Schizosaccharomyces pombe: one gene and its partners. The gene in region 3 interacts genetically with the main gene of each other region. Each region holds a gene or a part of one and is shown on either strand. Other genes may lie near its edges. The genes, in order: wss2, tel2 and swi1.

Evidence for each region.
Region 1: mutations in swi1 (region 3) and wss2 impair growth when combined (synthetic growth defect), as found in Schizosaccharomyces pombe (one study listed by BioGRID).
Region 2: mutations in swi1 (region 3) and tel2 impair growth when combined (synthetic growth defect), as found in Schizosaccharomyces pombe (one study listed by BioGRID).

What each region holds. Positions count from the first base shown.
Region 1 is NC_003421.2:1,778,782-1,782,125, forward strand, and holds wss2 (ubiquitin/metalloprotease fusion protein), read right to left. Parts: upstream 1,821-3,344; 5' UTR 1,680-1,820; coding exon 831-1,679; 3' UTR 741-830; downstream 1-740. Other genes in the region: proteasome core particle subunit alpha 2 Pre8, read left to right, coding at 51-414; cox12 (cytochrome c oxidase subunit VIb), read right to left, coding at 2,724-2,782, 2,856-2,963, 3,049-3,074, 3,139-3,154, 3,200-3,251. UniProt on the Schizosaccharomyces pombe protein: Metalloendopeptidase that acts selectively on DNA-binding proteins. DNA is needed to bring the protease and substrates together to enable proteolysis.
Region 2 is NC_003424.3:4,732,780-4,736,619, reverse strand, and holds the start of tel2 (TTT co-chaperone complex LRR repeat subunit Tel2), read right to left. Parts: upstream 1,800-3,840; 5' UTR 1,759-1,799; coding exon 1-1,758. Other genes in the region: SPOM_SPAC458.02C (mRNP complex protein), read left to right, coding at 2,805-2,900, 3,021-3,194, 3,292-3,840. UniProt on the Schizosaccharomyces pombe protein: Component of the TORC1 and TORC2 complexes required for the regulation of the cellular respons to changes in available nutrients. Required for normal entry into S phase. Regulates activation of the DNA replication checkpoint.
Region 3 is NC_003423.3:913,180-916,779, forward strand, and holds the start of swi1 (replication fork protection complex subunit Swi1), read right to left. Parts: upstream 1,601-3,600; 5' UTR 1,415-1,600; coding exon 467-1,414; intron 451-466; exon of another isoform or gene 392-450; coding exon 1-391. Other genes in the region: TORC1 serine/threonine protein kinase Tor2, read right to left, coding at 2,092-3,600. UniProt on the Schizosaccharomyces pombe protein: Forms a fork protection complex (FPC) with swi3. FPC coordinates leading and lagging strand synthesis and moves with the replication fork. It is required for programmed fork-pausing which is necessary for mating-type switching.

The DNA of each region.
Region 1 (3,344 bases), on a different chromosome or scaffold from region 3:
CATTATTCTGTTTTTTTTTTACTCTACTTTAAGCTAACTTCATTATTTAGTGGTGTTCGTCCGTTTGGTGTTAGTCTCTTGGTTGCAGGAATGGATGAAAAAGGTCCTTCTCTCTATCAAGTTGATCCTTCGGGCACCTATTTTGCTTGGAAAGCCACAGCTATCGGCAAATCATCTACAGCTGCTAAAACATTTTTAGAAAAGCGTTACAATGATGAACTTGAGTTGGATGATGCCGTGCATACAGCTATTTTAGCTTTAAAAGAAACTTTTGAGGGTGAATTAACTGAAGATAACATCGAGATCGCAGTAGTCTCTACGAAACCTACGGATAGTGGAATCGTTGGCGTACCAGGCGGACATTTTTGTCGATTGTCCCAGTCGGAGATTCGTGATTATCTCGACCAAGTATAAAGTTGAAAGTGTTAGGTTTATTTTTTCTTTATATTTCCTATACAAAAAAAGCACTAGCAATGTTTTGTTGCAAAAGTTGCTTTTTAAGTCCATTTTCACTTTCTTATTCAGTAACAACTTACATGAAAAAGACACGAGTTCGTCCACCCTTTGTCCATGAGATTCCAAGGTATTAGTTGTTTTTTTAAACTTACGTATGGTATTACACAGCCTGAAATTAGAAAGACTCATACTAGTGATAGCTGCTATATTCTATGACATGAATTAGATTTACGATTCCCAAACAATACGGTTCCTTTATTCTGTATAGTACAAATCACTCCAAATGTTTAACAACAAGACAGCATTCATTAGAAGAAACTATAAACATAGACAATAAATAGGGGAATTTGAAAATATAAGTAGTAAAGAATCCATTACTCCTTTTGGACTTTACTACCTGATTGCTTCCGCCTCTCCGCAGCGGCCAGCAGTAAGTCTCGTCTGTGGTTCTTTTGATCTTCATCGTCATTATCCTGTTGAGGAGTATAACTAGCTCGGTCACTAACATAACTACCAGGTTTGCCAAGCAAATCTGCTGCATCTGCTTCCTTTGTTAGTTGACGAAACAGCTCCCAAAAGGAGGAGTCGTGTTCTCCATGAACATTATGCGTCAATTCGTGAATTAATGTACTTTTCACAGTTTTGTAATCTCGAAAACCATCGTAACGGTCTGTACGTAAACGTAATTCAATATGTGCACCTTGATTATGATTGAGTCCCAGAGTTTTAGAGTCATGTCGAGTATGTTCAGCAGGGTCCATTTCACTAAGTAACGGGACAGTCCAGCGATGAGAATCCATAATTTTTTTAATGCCTGTATCGTCTCGCAGCCTTTCTAAATATCTCAAGGCACGATCCTTGTGAGGATAATCTAAAACCACAAGTTCATTAAATGTGTATATACTTGCAGGCTTTGGTGTAGTATGAGGCTTCTTCGGTTTCAAGCTGTATGTATTCGTGCTATAATCAGGGACCTTCAATTGAGAAATGGCTTGATTGACAATGTCTTTATCTTGTCTAATTAGACACATAATCTTCGATTCGTTTTTGACTACATCTTGTAAATGTGAGTCATCTGAAAGATTCCCTTTGTAGAGCAGCTTAATCAAACTTGGAGACACATCTATTTCTTGGCCAAGTTTCTCTTTAGCATCCAGCACAGTATCATTCTCATTAAATGAAAGAGCAATTACATTTCCTCTGCAACTAAATTTCAACTCCATGTGAATTTGGTAATTAGCAAAATTTCTAAATCTGTTTGACCCAATTAAACAATTGAGCTGAATATAAAAAAAAAACAAAGATATTATCAGTAAAAACTGAAGAAAAGAGAGTAGTGTAATTTTTGCTTATTAATTGGTAGTGGTTAAGTCAATAGACAATAGTACTAATATATATATACATACATTACGATTTAGACTGTGTAAGGTAGATGTGGCCTGAATATAACCGAAATGAATAACTTGATGGTGGCCAATTTTGCTGGTCTGACTAAGAACAGCCAGCTTTTTGTTCTATGAAATTCCAGCAATGCTAGAGTCCATTGTAGTTTTCTGGAAGTGAGTTGTAGAAAAGCGCGACAAAGTCAAGAACTATAGTGGTGTTTTAGACTTAGCAATTTAATTTAAAAAAGGTACCAGCCATGTTTAGTAGGACCATAGTTTCAAACTTGAATGTGGATTAACGATTTTCAAAAGTATGACTTGAAAAGATAAATTGGAATTATTTAGAAAATTTCTGTTTCTTGTACGGTAGACTTTTTATAATGGATACGATGGATGAACGTAAGTAAGTCACATGAATTTTAGATTTTGAAGACAACTATAAGCAGCGATAAAAAGTGTACTCAAAGTTAATTCATACTTCAATTAAGCAGGTTTAAGATATTTGACGGTCATAATAAAATCACTAAATCCAAAGTAATAATAGTTTATGGATTTACACATGCCATGTTCAGCAAATTTGTTCATATTTGATTCAAACACATGAGATCCAGCAAGATTTCACGCTCTTCATTTTATGTCATCAGTTTCGATTAGTTTTAAACTGTTAAATAGAACTTTTCACGAATGCAATGAATATATACATGAATCGTTTAATAACATATAACAAAGATCAATACAAGGGGTTTAAAGAAAAAGTATGTTTTCAATTAAAAGAATCAGCACAAATTTTAGCATAATATACTATTGATTGAATGATTTCAAAAGAACGGATTTGGTATTCATGTCCGCTACAGTAGTCATCGATAAAAAAGAAAGGCAAAACTAGATAGGGGCCGGGAAGGTTCCGTTTTCCCTTTGTTCGTCCCAGCGTTCTACCCATTCTGTCGAAACATTGTTAGCATATTTGCAGTTTAACAAGCGAAACCGCTTAACCTTCCAAAAAAAAGCACTTACCCATTGGGCACAAAGATTGATAAGCGTGCCAAAACTGTTTACAGGGGACAAAGTCTTCACCCTTAGCCTTAATACAGCGGAAATAATCAATGTAACTTTGGAAGCAATCTATCGTAGCAATGTGTTAAAAAGAGTCCTCATTATAACAAAAATTGACAACATATAAACGTCTTTTCAATAAAAAACAACTTACGTTTTGTTTGATTAGTGTTTGGGAATCTATATAGTAAATAAGATATTGTAAGTAACTTGTTTAATGATAATATCACCAATGTCATATTACCTTGCATCAAACCCAACTATGTCAACGTTAGCATTTGCTTCCTATAATATAGAGCTCTTACCTGTACCAAAAGTAAACTGCTTAGGTGCTTCTTGATCTTCTTGTTCAGACATGTTGTTTTGCTGCTAAATTGCTTTTTCGGAGAGGCGATTGGTAGAGGATACGTTCGTAGAGCCGCTTGTGAGTAGAAAGGAATGGGTCTAATA
Region 2 (3,840 bases), on a different chromosome or scaffold from region 3:
TAAACAGGTTAACAGAAGTTCCACTATAGCAGTCATTTGCATTTCATCAAAGTTCATTAAGTCAAATCGATTTTGTAAGGAAATTAACGTTTGTAACAATTCATCTGCATGATCTCGTAATTCGGTTCCAAAAGCAGACTTTCGTTTTATTAACTTAGAAGCGTTTTCCAGTGCAACACGTTGTTTCTCAAAACTTTCTGTGTCTTTTAACATTTTGCACAAATCTTGTACGTACACAGGAGAATGCGTCTTGGATCTAGAGACAGTTGGATCGTCGTCCGTGTCCTCACTGTCAATATCAGGAAAATCGTAAGGCTCCAAGTCATCTCCCCTTATTAAGTCATCGTTTTTAGAAATCACTGGCTTCTCCAAGTGAGTTACATTCGTCTCTTCCTTTTCTATCGAAGTCTCTGCGATAACACTTTCGTCATTCAAAATTTCAATAGGCAAAAATTCATCCTTGAGTGAGCTCAACGATTTGAGAACTTTTGCTTTCGTAGTCTTCATTATTGGAACGTCAAAGGCTAACGGGTTACTTAAGCTGACACCCGAATATGTAGAGATTACTTCGGCCATTATCATTCCATGCATTCGAATATCATCATCTAGACTATCTAAACGGCAAGATATTGCATTGGAGAACATTAGGGATTTGGAAAGATTATTCAAATATTTTGCTTCAAGTTTCGGAATAAATAGTAATAAATATATTGTTAAGCTCTCTTGAGCTAGCAGCGTATAGCTCCTCAAAAATTGCGCATTTGACCATATATTAAACAGAGAGTCCACTGTTTTTTCTAGCTCCTTTTTATCAGATTCCTTATAAGATATACTCGAACAAACTACTTCTACCCTTTTAATTATTAAATTTGTAGGGACGCCCCAATAAAATTCAATTAATCGAAGGAAGTGAGTGGATGAAAAGTTCAGCCTTAATAATGTAGCCAATGAACCTGTTATACGATCATCTCTTGCGGTGGAATATGAAAAATTGGTGGGATATTTGGTATTATGTTCAAGAAGAAGTTGATTGAGAAACAACATTTGATCAGAGACCGTCAAATCTGCAAATAATTTTTGTAGCTGAACACAAAATTTTTGTGTTAATGGAATCAATGGGTTAATGAATGCCTTTAAATTGGATGAGTGTAATAAATAATGGAATAGCTTTGAATATATTTCTGGGGTTTTAACAGCAGGTTTAGATATAATGCAAGCCAATTTTGAAGATAAAACGCCAATGTAGTCGGCCATTGATGAAGCCTTCAAACGTTTTGAATCATCGTAAACCTTGAAGGTAAGCATTGCAGCAGACATTGAATTAGTAATTTTAAAGTTTCCCAAGAAAAAAATAAATTCAGTCCACAAAGATTGCTTTTGATGATCAGATAATACAGTAGATTCCCATATCAATTTACAGTTATCGTCAAGGTCTATACATTCAAATGCTTTTTCCAGTAGCTCAAGATAAACTGTAACAAGATGAATGTTTTGCAAATTAGCCTCTTGAACAAAATTATCTAGTCGAACACATAGCAGTTTTAAGCCCAAAAGAGTAGAAAAACATTTTGCAAGGAGAAAATCTATTTCTGAATTAATTTTCCCATTCCAGAATGTGGGCACTATCACACTAATTAACTCATGATATAATCTTAGATTGCAAGGAGAAGGAACACCTATATGCTGCAGTTCTTTAAGGATTTCTTTTAAACGCGGCTTTTGAATAGGTTTGGATAGTTCGCTAGCAAAGGATTTCATATCCTTGGAGTTGAAAAATAACCGAATTATTTTGGGGTGTTGAGAAGACAGTAACCTTCGGTGGATTAATTCACCGGTCAGCAATCAGCAATATGCAGGATTATAGGCTGCTTGGCTAAAACAACACCAAAACTCTTTACAAAGTATATAGTTATTTTTAATTTGTTGTCCATGTAAATTACTTTAAATTCTATTAATTGTTTTTCATTCTATAAAGGTAATTTGAACTCAATTCATATAGTTTTTTAAATTGTGCTCTTAAACTTCCTGAGAATGGTGTATGCAACAATTACATGGGTAGCATCGGGATATTCTGTGAAACCTGTAAAGCTCTTCGATGTATTATTTTCACGGACTTTTCACAGCCTGAAATTGAATAGGAACTTACAATTTACGTGACAGAAAAAGGATATTATGTATAATTTAACTTAAAGACATTTTGTGCTTATATGCAATAGTTGTAACAAAAGAATGGATAGTTATGCTTTCAAATTCGCTTTCTATAAGTGAAGTATCCTGTTGCTTTATAAGACTAGTTGCAATATTTCTATTTGCTTTTAAAAAGCAAGTAACTTTTAGTTTAAAACTGTTTTTGTGTACCTCCCAAATTAAATGTTAATGCTCCGCTAATCGGTAAGCTAATCCGTGAGAAAAAATGCATTAATTTTTCTTGTTTCGTTCAAGTCAACACATTGCAAATAAAGGTCACTAAATTTACAATTCAGGATTTTTAAATTGAAATATTAAACATAATACGTGGACGAGTGCAAAAAACTACCAGTTTATTTAAATAAATAAAAAAAAAATATCATAACATGTATTATCGTAATCTTTTCCTTAGACTGCTCTTCACACGATGTCTGAATAACCGTCAACAAAAAGCTATTTATAAAAATTTCAGAAACAGGTAGTCTCCTTCACAGCACTGCGAACGAAAACTCTAGGGAAGCAAAACAAACGGAGTTTATCTGCCTTGTTATATACTCGTTAAACGACAACTCAACACACACCACTATCCACCACCAACAACAAAATCCTTAATAAAAATGTCATCTCATAAACCCGTTCGTCCTAATGAAGCTCTTCACAAGGAGGCTTTGGAGGAGCTTGATGCTAAGATCAACGAGGCGAAAAAGCGTTTCGTAAGTAGTTTTAAATTCTTGAATATTGAAGGCTAAGCTTTTTTTTTTTTTCATAACTATGAAAGCTTCAAAAAATCACTTGTTTCTTATATAGTTTTCGCATCTTAACTAATCAACTAGAATGAGCATAAGGAGAAGCTTGGTGCCATTCGCGGTGGTGGTTCATTGCAGGAGAAGAATGCAGAACTTCGCGCTGAATTAGACAATATTCGCAATGCTCAAGCAGCTATCCGTTCTTCTAAGCAAACTCTCATCAACAAAGTCAAGGCTCAAGATGAACTTTTGAAAAAGAAGGTATGTTTTGCATTAATATATGTAAGCACTAAAGTTTTGTGTTGGAAAACTTTATGAGCTTGGTAAAGAAACAAAATGTTTACTGACATACTTTTAGGTTAAGGAGTTGACTGCCATGAAAAAAACTGTTCCTTTCAAGTCAGAAGTGGAGCTTGATAAACATGTTAAACAACTTCAAGCCGCCGTTGACTCAGGAACTTTAAAGATTGTTGATGAGAAGAAATACCTGCGTGAAATTTCTCAGTGCAATCGTACTAGAAAGAGCTTCGTTGAGTTGAACGCTCTTCAAACTAGTATTGATACGATTAGAAATGAACTTAACGAGCTTCGTGATCAACTTAATGATTCAGAATCAAAGAAGTTGAGTGACAAGTTCGTAGAAATCCGTTCTGAGCTTGATGAGGTTCGTAAGCAACAAGACGGTTACTATAAAGATCAGCGTAAGCTCATAGCAGAAAGAGATGATGAGAAGACTGCACTCGATGATCTATATAATCAACGAAGAGCTTTACAACGTGAGTACGATACCCAATTGCGCGCATTCCGTACTTATGAACGTGAACAACGTGCCAAAAGACAAGAACAGTTTCGTCTTGAGCGTGAAAATCGTGAGAAGGAGAAGAGAAGAATTGCTGCTCAACGCAAG
Region 3 (3,600 bases):
GAAGAGTGAAAAGTAATTGAGTCATCGAAAGCATGGATGCTTGGAAGGTGCTCCATTGTTTCATTTCAAAGGATTCTACCATTAACCTGTTGTGCATAATCAAAGCTCGTTGGTCAAAAACGGAGGCTGCTAAGCCAAAACTATAATCATTAGAGTAAATTTCTTCTGTTTTTTTTGGTTTAGACGAAAATCTCATGAATTCCAAAAAAAATGACTGAACGTATAATAATTGCATTTTATGAATTGGAAGCACACGAGGATCTTCTCTTTCCAAGTCTTTTAAGAGAGACTGAAATAATGGATTGAATCCAGCTTCCAAAAATTCGACAGCAAAGTTCCTTAATGCAGTACCTGCCTCGGTATTGATAAAGAACGATTTGTTTATGTCATCCTAATATTGTTAGAATAGAATAGTTGAATTGGAAAAAAAAATTTAAACAAACATCGTGTTTAACTAAGTACATACAAAATGTTTTCGACGTGTTCCTCGTTTTCGAAAACGCTTATGAGAGTCAAGCTCATCAAGGCCGTCGGTTTTTATATTTTGGCTAGCAATAGTAAATCTTCTGTCTTCAGTTTGAACAGAAAGCATGGTTCCAAATCTATTATGCCTCGTATGTGCATTTCGTTTCAAATAGCGATTTTGGGTCGACTCTTTGAGGAGTAAGCTATTAAGTTCGGTTTGAGAGTTAGTCAATGAGGCATCAGAGAAAAGGGCTGATGGCTTACAACCTCTGATCAAGTTGTAGACTATTTCTAATATGTAAACATCAAAATGCTCAAATTCATCGAGATTCGAGACCAGTGTGACAATCAAATCTAATATATGAGCTTTCGCAAACGAGATAATTGTTTCATTTTTTGTTTTTAATTCATCGATTTGAAGAATGTTTCGAAATAGTAACAGCACTATCCTGATTATTCCCTTGTCTCTAAGTGTTCTGGATTCTGCGGGAGTACTTAAGGGCTTTAGTAAAACAGCTAAAATGGCGGATAAAACGCTCCCCTTCTTGTAAGATAAAATTGAATTTTTATAATTTGATTGAGCTTGACGCAGATTATAGAGAACATCAACATTTTCTCTGAATGTTTCATGCTCAGTCTCCAAAGGCCATGTTAATGGTACAAGAAGCTCAACACAAGCTAAAGCGATACGCCAGTTTCTGTAATTAGTAATGTCTTTATCCCAGTCAGAGAGTATTGGACATATATCATTAGTTACCAACTGTAAGCTCGAGAGCAAAGATCGAATTTGCCAAACTTTGTACTTTTCATCGACTACTTGAAGATAGCGCTTCAGATCCTTTAGGCAAGCCAAAGCTTCATCACCAAGAACGTACACTTTTTCATCGTCTGAATAGTCAAATCCTCCAATGGCAGAAACAATGCCTTGAATCACCTCATCTAATTCCATTCAAGTTGATTTGTTAAATCAAAAGCTCTCAAGTTCCTTTTTTTTGTATTGTCGGTATGCGTCGATAAATAAACCAAATTTAAGAAATTAAATAAATTTTAATAATTAAGCGATATTAATTATGTTCATGAATAATCGTATTCTTTTAAGATAAGTAAATTTGATTGTAGATACGTGAAGAGGGGTGGTGACAGTAAACAATGAATAATAAATTTTTAAAACAATATTTAACTTTTCAAAATAACTTGGATTTTTAAAAAAATGTGTGTAAAGTAAAACACTTTATAATTTAAATCGCATTAAAATGGCATTCAGTATTATATTATAAAATTCGATAATATGGACTCAACAAAACGAATTTGCTACCTAACTTGTACAATGCATAATTAGAATTTAGTTTCAATAATTTTCACAATTTCAGATGTAGAAATTTAGAGTTTATTATTTTCAGAATGATTAAGCAGCAAATCTTTAATAACAATATAAAGAGATGCATTCTCTACTACAAAATTCTAAAAATTCTGCGTCAAATTCAACATTTCCTCTATTTTGTAAAATTGTAAAACAACGTAATAAATTGTTACAGGACTCATTCATAAAGACTATTTACACTTTATTTAATATAGAATATATATATGATGCGGCAGAAAAGCAATTTGAACGTTTGGGACTGTCACCTACCAGAAACTACACCAGCCAATATAGCACAAGCATAGGTTCTCTATAGAGGTTGCTTGTAAAATCAGCTTCTCTACTTGACTTGGTACATCCAATTGCTGTTGGGGTTTGAAATCCCGACCAGTAAGTTTATTGGACACACGATTAAGAACGGTTATAGCTCTTTGATTGAGTATCTCGGGTTTTTGACGTTCTTCAAGTGTAATTCCTTCTTCGTTTAAGCGTTTCCGGTGTAAACCATCAATTGTCTCACCGAGAAGTGTATTAGGTTCGTTAGATTGCTTTTCATCGATAGAAGGTGAATATGCAGGAGCAAGGCGCCAGTTAATAAGAGGATCGTAAACGAAAGCTTCTAAAACTGCCATCACAGACTCCTTATTAGTACGAAGAACTCGCATAACATGTTCGCATGTTATCCGGAACGTCCCCTCTATACCACTAACTTCCATTGCGTTAACAAGCATTCGCGTAAGGCGGAAAGGAATCTTCTCGGGAAACTTTTCTCGATGCATTGCTACTTCAAAACAATCTCCAAAATCGATATGGATGATATTACCTGTATACCTGTCCAGCATCAAATTGGAAGGATGACGATCGCCCAAACCTAAGATGTACCCTACCATTGACATCACCGCAAGAGTACGAGAATAGTTAGTTCGCCTATTAAGCCAAGCTTCTGAGCTACGACTCTTCAGCCATAAAACGCGGTATAAATCCTGCCCCGTAGTACTAAGTAGGGCATATTCAAAGACTTCAACTTTCTGAAGGAGAGTGAGACGATCGTAATCTGGAGCCATCTGAATGATCAACCTATGTTCTATGTTGAGTAAAATCTTTCTGCTTTCTCTGTAGTCACGAATTAAGACATGCAAAGTATCGCTATCCAAAACCCAGCCTAAAAGGCCTGAATCCGGTGATAAAGGAATCACTGGATACCTTTGGATTGAAAGTAAGCGCTTAAAAGTTTCCGGGTCAGCTAGTAACAGATTGTTACAAAGCCCAAATAGCTGCATAACACGTTCATCTTGTCTGATGTCCTCGTGACCCTTTAAAACATATTGATAATCTTTTCCATCACTGCCTTTAATACTCAGTCGTCTCGGACGTTGCTTAGATGTTATCACGTTGAATGTAGGGTAAAACTTTACAATTCTTATAACAGGTTTCCCGCTAACGTATGTTCCCGGAACAGCTAACTCAAGATCATGTACATGTAAGAGTTTAGGAGAAACGTATTGTAAATCTAATGTTGTCAACTGAGGTAGCTGTTTACGAATTTTCTTGAAAACTTGGTAATATAAGTCCCAGGCCTGATTTAAGTCTGATATATCACCAGTTTGCTCAAAACGGATACAACAATCCCTTGCTTCGACTAAGTCACGTCCAAAGGCTTGTTGGAAAGAAATTTCACGAAGCGTTTCCGGACCACGTTCCAACATTTCATGCAATGGTCTCAACACGGCAAACATACCCTCAATGTTATGATCACCAAAATACAATCGTGAAGC